2 linked regions of the Daphnia pulex genome follow. Each later gene encodes a partner of the first gene's protein in a complex. Links are inferred from orthologs where the notes say so. Each region holds a gene or a part of one and is shown in the gene's direction. Other genes may lie near its edges. The genes, in order: nuclear pore complex protein Nup205-like and nuclear pore complex protein Nup98-Nup96-like.

Region 1 (4,522 bases):
CACACAAGCGGCAAAGAGGTGTTTTTCTGTGGATCACGAACGACATTTTTTTTTCAGGATCTCAAATCAGTCTAGAAAGTAGACTCCACAACGACGAGTTATGGAGAGCATCAAAGATTGGATGTGTTTTTTGACCTTATAAAGATATACATATGGTGAAAGCGTCTAGGAGGCAACGACTGGCGATAAACAAAACCACCGTTCTTCGAATTTGAGGAAATAAAAACTTGGGAGGTTTTGAAATAAAAAAAATTAAAATGCTCAATCCTACGATTTCCTCCCCTCCCTTATATCTTTTTCTCTCTTCGCAGTGCGATTGACGATTGGATTTCATTTCTTTATTTTGAGCCCCAATATGCGAATCCTGTAAATAAATGTAACAAGGAAAACATACCCAAATAGGTGGACACCACCGTTCCTAAACGTCCGTCTCCTCACTTCAACCTACCCAACTCTTATGATTATTGTGTTTCTTTTTTTTTTTTTTGAATTTTTTGCCACAATCAAACCGTCAACAGTTCTTTTTTGTGTGTGCGTGAATGCGTGTCATTGAAAGGAAAAAAACCTCTATTCTCGCCCTGATCTTCCTTCATATTTTCCTCATTTACCTTGTTTGAACACTGAAAATTTTTTAAAAAGTAAAAATTATCTTATAAGAAAAATTCTGCTAGAATCGACTTTGTATGTGTGAGTGAGTGTGAGTGTTCGTCTATGGCAACTTGTGGCACAGCGCATCGTGTCTTCGTAAGTGTGCGTCTGTATTATCAAGTCAGTTGGATGACATTAGTGTAATTTGTACAGGTGAAAACAACAAAAAAAAAACAAATTCTCAGTGCTATTATTCTATTTTGTATCGAGATGACGCGTTGGACTCGGTCTCCCAAATTGGGCGTCATTAAATTCTGAAAAAAAAGCGATGTCATCTTTATAATGTTTTCTCGAGCGAAACTGAACTTTTCCCGTATTTCCTTCTGCTCCAACTCCACCACCACTCCTCCACAACAAAAAAAAGCAGCTGAGAGCATTGCTTTTTTGTATAATGATAAAAGGGAACAACTTTTTTGTGCTTGTCGATTAATTATTATTTTTCATTTTCGTGTGTGGTCGGTCTTTTTTTTCAATCTTTTTTCTTGTGCGTGTTATACGTGACTGTTGTGGACAAGATAATGTGTACAGGATAATTTGCAGTTCATTTGTAAATATTACTTGTTACTCTTTTGATTACAAACCGTCTGATCATTCTTAAAATAAGCTGATTCGTTTTTACTTTATTTTTCAAATATCCACACCCTATTTTGAGAAAACAATAAATCCATGGACGAATATTGAATAGATAGATAAATGGGTTTTTGGCGGTAATCGTGTTTCAATTTCAACGCAATTGTTTCAATTTTCTTACTGGCGGGAATTTACTTTGAATAGATGGCGCTGTGATGGTAGGTGGCGTTGGCATCATCTACCGACTACCGGTACGAAAAATTATCACACGACAATTCCCCACAGACGAATTCGAAGTCCAAGTTTCGAATACGTTCAGCTTTTGCCCTTGTGGTTATTAGGTTTTTTTAGTGAAATAAGCTTTACTTTTGGTTGAACTGTCACAAGTTTTAAAATCAAAAGATGTGGACCAAGTCTAAGGACCTCCACAGTCTGGTTGAAGACACAATTAATAACCAGCAATGCAACAGCCTAGACAATCTGGAGAAAGCATTGAAAAATCACCGTTCAGATTTCTCTGCCCTTCTTAAACAGCCGGTAATTTCATGAATCAGATTAAATCTGTGTTCTAAGCTCAAGTCAAATTCATTTTCAGGCAAAAAATCTCGATGACAGAAACCTTCTCCTAAAATCTGTCAAAGAACCTGTTCTTTTCCCTGGAAGAAAGACGACTGCTTCACTTGAACAATCGTTTGTGGATGAAGCACTCATTATCTCTGATATGTTTAATCTAAACGAAAATGTTGCTGTTGAACTTTTACACACAGCAGAACAGCAAATGCATTACTATCCAGAATTAACCAGGGGTTTGATTTCAGTACTGCTGTACTATGATGCTAGACGTGCCATTGTCAATTCATTAAAAATTCTCATCCAAGCAAGGAAAGGAATTTCATGGGCTGTAGACACCAGCGAACAAGTTGTTGACTTAATAACAGAGTACACCGTTAAATTGGTGAAAAAAGGTTTGGTAGATCAAATCATAGCCCTGTTAAGTCAACTGAACCTTGAAAAGGAAATCAATTTGCTCCACGAAAACCGAGCTCTCGGTGGACCAAAACACAGAAGGTTTGTTTACAATTAAGATTAATATTTCTTTCTTTTAATTTTTTGTGTTTTTTATTTTAGACAAGTTCATGATTTCTTCACTGAAATAAGGCAGTCGTTAGCGGACATTGTATTTTGTTTGGCTGCTCAAAATGGACTGTGTAGGGACGATACACTGCTGCTAGTGAATTACCTTTCATCTGTCGAACAAGTCGATAACGTCAACGTCACTCTTTTCATGGCTCTTTTGTATGCTATTGATATCAGCGGTATCGTTAGAACTGAAGAAAGTGAAGACGTCGTCCGGTTGTTACCCATCACTTCGGAAAGTGCATTTGTTGCGACTATTCAAAAGCGTCTGACAGAACCACTTCCTTGGAAGAACATTGGCCTTCAAGCTTCAGTTCAACTTGCCTGGGCAGTGACTTTGGCTACTTTCCGTTCGCTTTCATCTGGACTTTGCGCTCCAATTCAAATGCAGGTTGACGAAGACGAAGCCATCCTAGACGTCGCGTTAGAGGGAAAAGCTTTGAATTTTCTCAGTCATCTACTACAAACCAAAAATCATATCTACAAAGAGGAGTTTTACTTACGGCGATTACATTCACTTGTGACGGATCTAATTGTTCAAATGCCCCTGAAAATCAAAGATCTTCGTAATAAGGCCGATGAAGTTGCACGTAACATCTTTGTCTATCAGCAAGAGGGCCTTGAGCCACCTTCAAACCTGCCGCTGGATTTTCAATGGTTGCTTAACTTTATCGCCGTTCTGTACGGAGAGGATCCTCTAGAGCTGGAACTGTGTCTTGAATTTTGGTCTAGTGACATGGCCAATGCTGGAGTAAACTACAGGTATATGGTTATTGTTTATTTTGAAATAAAAATAAAAACTTATCGCCTTTTTAATGCAGAGTCTCTCAGCGACAAATGGCCCTATATAAGTTTATTCGTTTGGCCGGGGATTTGCTACCGCCTTCTCTCTACATTTCTTATGCCAGCATGCTTTGCGGATTGGCAAATGGAAAGAGGGCAGCTCACCAAGCCTTTACCCTTCTGAAACAAAACAGCAACGGCGGTCAAAGCAATTTGATCTCTTGGGAACACTTTTTCTCATCACTCCACAGATATTTTAACAGTTTGCGCCAAGAGTCGCTCCCTGTACCGGACACCATCTACCGCCACAAGCCCCTCACAAAAGGCATTACACCACAGGAGGTTCAGGGATTGCAGGTCGTTTTGAAGTTAATGCGAATCGTTCTCCAACATGACCCTGTTGCCAGGATATCTTTGGCCGAGAATCCAACATGGATACCATTAGTCGTGATGATCGGACTCTTAGGTAAGTAAAAGCAAATAGCTATCGAATGAACCCGAAAAATACATCTTCTAAATTGTAGGCTGTGCTGTGCCATTGAGTTTGAAGGGAGAGATCATGGAGGTTCTTGCAGCTTTCGCCCAGTCACCTGACATCGCATATACACTGTGGAACAGCATTGAAATAGCTCAGATTTTGTCAACTACAAGCATAGTTTCAACAAATGTCAAAGGTTTGTGCATGAAGATAATTCTATATTAATTTCCTGCCCAGTAAAAAACAAAAAAAGGGTTGAATATTAGGTCTCCACACGGAATTGGAAGATGTTGAGTCTCGAGCTGAAGAATACCCCCTCACAAGAGCCTTTCTTAAATTACTGGACGTGATGACTGATATATCCATCCCAACCAACTTGGGAACTGGACATAGAACGCCTGGATTTGATCCCTACTTATTCTACGTTAAAGATTCCGTTTTCCTGAAATTTAGTGGTAGGGCGTACCGCAATGAAACGGAAAAATGGCAGGTTTGTTCGTTTAGGTTTAAAAAGTTGTAAAACAAAGTCTTAACATTGACTTCGTTTTGTAGATTGGAAATGCCTGTGTAAAGCTATTTTTAAAATTGCTCTCGAATTACGAACCCAGTGTGGATGATTTTCAGGACTCCTACATTGAATTACCGTCTGGTAAATCATAATTAAGTTTTAAGAAAACTTGTTCTTAATGCTTGCTTTTTTTTTCCTGGTAGGCGGCAATGCCATTCGGTGCAAACCACCAGGGTATCATCTTTTGGTGCAATGTCTGCACGACTCCAACTTTTTGCGCCTCCTGCTTCATGTGGTGGACGAAGGCTGTCGTGTCTTGGATCTTTACACACCCACGCCAGGAATTGAAGAGTTGGAAACACTAACGCTTAATGTTCTCTTGTTATTAAAGCGCGTAC
Region 2 (4,509 bases), on another chromosome or scaffold:
ACTTGATTCTCCTGTAAAAAGATGATCAATAATGTAATAAAAAATTTATCTAAAAAAATATTACACATTCGTTCTAATAAAAAAAAAAAAACAGAATTAATGAGTACCACAGAAATTGGAGCCGGAGCTCTCTGGCGTAGTTGCATTCTCTCAACAACTTCTTCGGTTAAACCGTTGGAGTTCCCGTTTTCTTCGAGGTCATCTGGAATGATTTCGTTTTCTGAGGCCATTTCTCCGTCATTTTGCCAATCATCCAAGTTAGGAGGTTCGACTTCTAGATCATCTTGGTGCATAGACGTTATAGGAACTGGTTCGGTTGGCACCAAATCTGCGACGGAATGTTCAGCTTCTTCGTTAAAAATAAAATAAATTAATAAACGGAAAAAAATATCCACATTTTTCATTTTACCTTGGTTTTCGTTAAGGACATCTCTCTCGGGATGTACTTTAAATCCGTTTGCGTGATGGATTTGCAAAAACAAAGTGTAAGGGTCAAAGGGGAAATTAGATCTTAGATCAGAGGGGTAACCCAAATGCTCGTTTGAAAGTGTGTAGAGTTTAATTTTAACAGAATTTAAGCTTCCTATAACTTCTTCTAGTTGCAAGATTTCATACGGTAAAGTTTGGATCTTTTTTGTGTCTTTGGCTGTAGCTTTTCTCTTTAATTTTGAGCCAAACTTTCTAAACTTCAGTGGAATTGGTTCTGTGATAAGATCTACATCTCCTTTGTGATGTTTTTTTCGGTGATTTCTTCTTATCTTGGAGCCAGGTGTTTGATTTTCATCATTTTCATTACCATTCCTATAGAGAGTAGAGAGAAATGTGTTTTATTAGAAAGTAAAACATTGTACAGTACATGATTTTAGTTACCCATTCGAACTTAAAAACTCAATCACTTCTTGGAGAAGAAGCCAGAGCTGCTCAACTTTCTTGCTATAGATTTGTGCACTATTCTGTACAACCATAGCAGCCTTAGCAAAATCTAGCTTCATTTGCTCCCCGTTTACATTAACTTCAATCCGCAAATCTTGAATATACTGGACATATTCCTCCAATTTATCAGCTATATTCAGCTCCCAACATCCTTGTTTAGTAAGCTCTCGAATTGGCTTAAGAAGAGCAGCAAATTGAGAACTGAAAACATCATCTTCTTCAACAGAACTCCCACTCGAATTCGCAAGACCAGGGCCCATTGTTTAACACGACTGCGAAACTTATTACAACAAAAAATATCTCGAATCTTTAACTATTTCAGAAAAAGAAGAACATTTTTCATATTGAAAAATAAACTGTCAGCCACTTTGCCTGAACAAACAAGAAAACACAACAATTCAAAAATTGAATTTTGGAGTAAACGTAAGTGTTGCGTTTAGTTCTGAAGTACAAGGCCCACTATGCAACTAAATCAAGGGTCAAACTTTGGTGGCCATGTACGTAGCGCCACCTATAATGACTCTCAGTGTTTAGATTTTTGCGAAAACTAACCAAAACTCTTTAATTTTGCAACAATCAAATTCTAATTAAAATATTTTACACCTCTTAAATTTCGTGTCATCATAGTGTAAACATATTGAATTGCTAAATGCAAGTTAATGAATACTAACCGCTGGAAGACGCAGTCAAACGGCCTTCTTTCTATTCTCATTCTTGTGCGCCGCAACTGCTTTTTGCCTTTCGTAATTCGTATGAGCACCGTCTTGCCTTTTCAACGTTTCATTGAATTGTCAGCAAGTTCATACGACTCCCGCGTGCTGAGATTACTGTTGTGTTCTAAAAACTTGTGTGACGACCGCTAGCCATTGTAAGTTCAAATTGTGAGTTCTCCGAGATTAAGACTTCTGTGGTGTTGCATTTCGTACTCCATAAATATTGGGAGACATTTTTGACATTTTCTTTTTTACTTAGCTGCGGAGTGTGCCGGCTTCTTCAATGATACATCTTTAAAAATGTTTGGACAAAATAGACCCACTTTTGGAGCCCCAACATCAAATACTTTTGGTAATGCATCCAGACAATTATTATTCTTTACCATTGCATAAGCATATTTCATGTTTACAAATGTATCTTATCTTGTCATTACGTCACCATTTAAATTTCAACATTTTTTGTTTGCCCTCCATTGTTTGTTGCATTTAGGCGGTTTCGGTACAAATACATCAACAGGATTTGGGCAGTCTTCGTTTGGGGCAAAGCCAACTGGAACGGCTGCACCAACTTTCCAATCTACAGGTTTTGGATCAAATACCTCGATGTTTGGAAGCACAGGTACTACAACAAGCCAACCCTCGGGAGGTTTGTTTGGTACACCTACTGCCACTTTTGGAGCAGCACAACCTACAGCAGGATTTGGAGCACCTGCAACTAATACTGGCTTTGGAGGTATTTTATGTTTTATAGTTACATTTCATCAAACAGTAGATATCTTTGATGAACTTCATTAATTTGCAATCAAAGAGCACTTAATCATGTTGTTGGTTTTGTAACAAAAGGATTTGGTGGTGGGACTTCAGGGGGGAGCTTATTTGGAGCCCCTGCTGCTTCAACTGGTATGTTTGGATCTAATACCCAACAAACTGCCCCTTCAACTGGTACAACTGGCATGTTTGGAGCAGCCACCAATACAGGATTTGGAGCTCAAGCTAAACCTACATTTGGCTTTGGAGCAACTAGTACCTCCAGTAGCTTGTTTGGACAACCCCAATCCCAGCCCACTCAAACCACCTCACTTTTTGGACAGCCCACAGCACAAGCAACGCCGTCAACGGGTACTGGTTTGTTTGGGACATCATCTTTTGGTAACACAATTGGGGGATTTGGTGGTACTGGTGGAGCCATTACTGGTACCCCAGTAAAATTCAGTCCTCTAACAGGGACAGACTCTATGGTATAATATTTATTCATACACATATTTTTCTCTATGAATTATAATTTTCATTTTGTGGTCTTTAGATGAAAAACAATGTCCAAACGACAATAAACACACACCATCAGTGTATAACATGCATGAAAGAATATGACAATAAATCTTTGGAAGAACTTAGATTTGAAGACTACTCTGTAGGACGGAAAGGACCGACCCCGGGAACCGCACCACAAACTGGAGGATTATTTGGTGGGACCACTACGACTACCCAATCAACTCCGTTATTTGGACAAACTCAACAGACGCCCCTTTTCGGAACACCAGCACCCAGTAAGTATTTTTCTTGTGTATGATGAACAAAAGAGATAATTCGTATGTATTTAGCTATGGGACAGCCGAGCTTATTTGGACAGCCTCAACAGCAACAAGCTCAACCTTCGGCCTTTGGAGCAAAACCCATGGGGTTTGGTCAACCTGCTACTTCCACTCAATCATCATTTGGTTTCGGGACGCCTGCACCTCAACAGCAACAACAGCAGCAACCCAGTCTCTTCGGTCAGCAACAACAAAATAAACCTTTTGGCTCATCGATTTTCGGTCCCCAATCTACGAGCCAACCCACTCCTGCTTTCGGGACACAAACACCCGCTCCCGCATTTGGATTTGGTGCCCCACAACAGGTAATGATAATATTTTTATTTATTCCTTTTTATTTGAGATTGTTTCCTACTTATCGTTTTCTTTTTATTTCTGATTATTGCAGACCAGTCAAAGCTTTTTCAACACTCCAAAGCCAGCAATGGGAGTTCAGACTTCAACAGCAGGTTTTGGTTTTCCTCAAACGACAACCACTCAGTCCGCTGGATCCAACATCTTCGGTGCGAAACCAATAACTGGTTTTGGAGCGACACCTACCCCTGCATTTGGAACTACTCCCGCTCAAACAACGACGCCAGCGTTCGGTGGATTTGGTACATCAGGTTAGATCAGGAAATTGTTTTTGTTGTTTGTTTGTGTTTGCACCAAAAAAAATTTCGACTGTATTTTTTATAGGTACTACTGGAACTGGGTTGTTCACACCTGGACAAACGGCTTTTGGAGTCAAACCAGCCGGGCAAACATTTGGTGCGGTGACATCAACTCCGTCGACTCTAGGATTCGGTCAAAATACAATGTTCGGCGGGGCATCGGCTGCAAATGCAAAGCCCAGTCCATTTGGCGGTACTCCCTTTGGAAGTTCTGGCTTTGGCACTACACCTAGCTTTGGAACAGCTACTGGTGGGATGGGTACTGGCGCTCCCGGTTCACTCTTTGGGAACACAAGTATTGGAGCACCCTCAACTTCAATGTCTTTCGGAACGACGCAGCCTACTACTGGAACTAGCAGTTCCCAGTTGCCTATTCATCAGTATATCTTGACGCTAAGTGAGATTTCTCAGTCTAGTGATCATCCTCTCTTCCGGAAAATGCTGGAACCGTCAGGTAAGCCACTTCGAATGAACACAGTTGAACGCATTTCATTCATTAATTGTTTCATTGCGTTTTCAGGAAAAACAGAAGAATTGATCAAATCAAGCGCCCGTACCAGTTTGTCCAACGGGGCTGCACCAACTCCTCCTCAATACCGTATCTCACCCCTTCCCTCG

The links.
Region 2: nuclear pore complex protein Nup205-like (region 1) and nuclear pore complex protein Nup98-Nup96-like share a complex: the UniProt entries of both Homo sapiens proteins name them as parts of the nuclear pore complex. The link is inferred for Daphnia pulex from reciprocal best matches to the Homo sapiens genes NUP205 and NUP98.

What each region holds. Positions count from the first base shown.
Region 1 is NC_060022.1:5,062,834-5,067,355, reverse strand, and holds the start of nuclear pore complex protein Nup205-like, read left to right. Parts: upstream 1-1,440; 5' UTR 1,441-1,620; coding exon 1,621-1,755; intron 1,756-1,813; coding exon 1,814-2,286; intron 2,287-2,346; coding exon 2,347-3,117; intron 3,118-3,176; coding exon 3,177-3,604; intron 3,605-3,662; coding exon 3,663-3,812; intron 3,813-3,882; coding exon 3,883-4,106; intron 4,107-4,168; coding exon 4,169-4,265; intron 4,266-4,327; coding exon 4,328-4,522. UniProt on the Homo sapiens protein: Plays a role in the nuclear pore complex (NPC) assembly and/or maintenance. May anchor NUP62 and other nucleoporins, but not NUP153 and TPR, to the NPC.
Region 2 is NC_060021.1:8,259,326-8,263,834, forward strand, and holds the start of nuclear pore complex protein Nup98-Nup96-like, read left to right. Parts: upstream 1-1,644; 5' UTR 1,645-1,801; exon of another isoform or gene 1,802-1,814; intron 1,815-1,905; 5' UTR 1,906-1,946; coding exon 1,947-1,998; intron 1,999-2,136; coding exon 2,137-2,379; intron 2,380-2,489; coding exon 2,490-2,884; intron 2,885-2,949; coding exon 2,950-3,193; intron 3,194-3,247; coding exon 3,248-3,543; intron 3,544-3,626; coding exon 3,627-3,843; intron 3,844-3,916; coding exon 3,917-4,345; intron 4,346-4,411; coding exon 4,412-4,509. Other genes in the region: condensin-2 complex subunit H2-like, read right to left, coding at 1-11, 108-349, 410-801, 871-1,193. UniProt on the Homo sapiens protein: Plays a role in the nuclear pore complex (NPC) assembly and/or maintenance. NUP98 and NUP96 are involved in the bidirectional transport across the NPC. May anchor NUP153 and TPR to the NPC.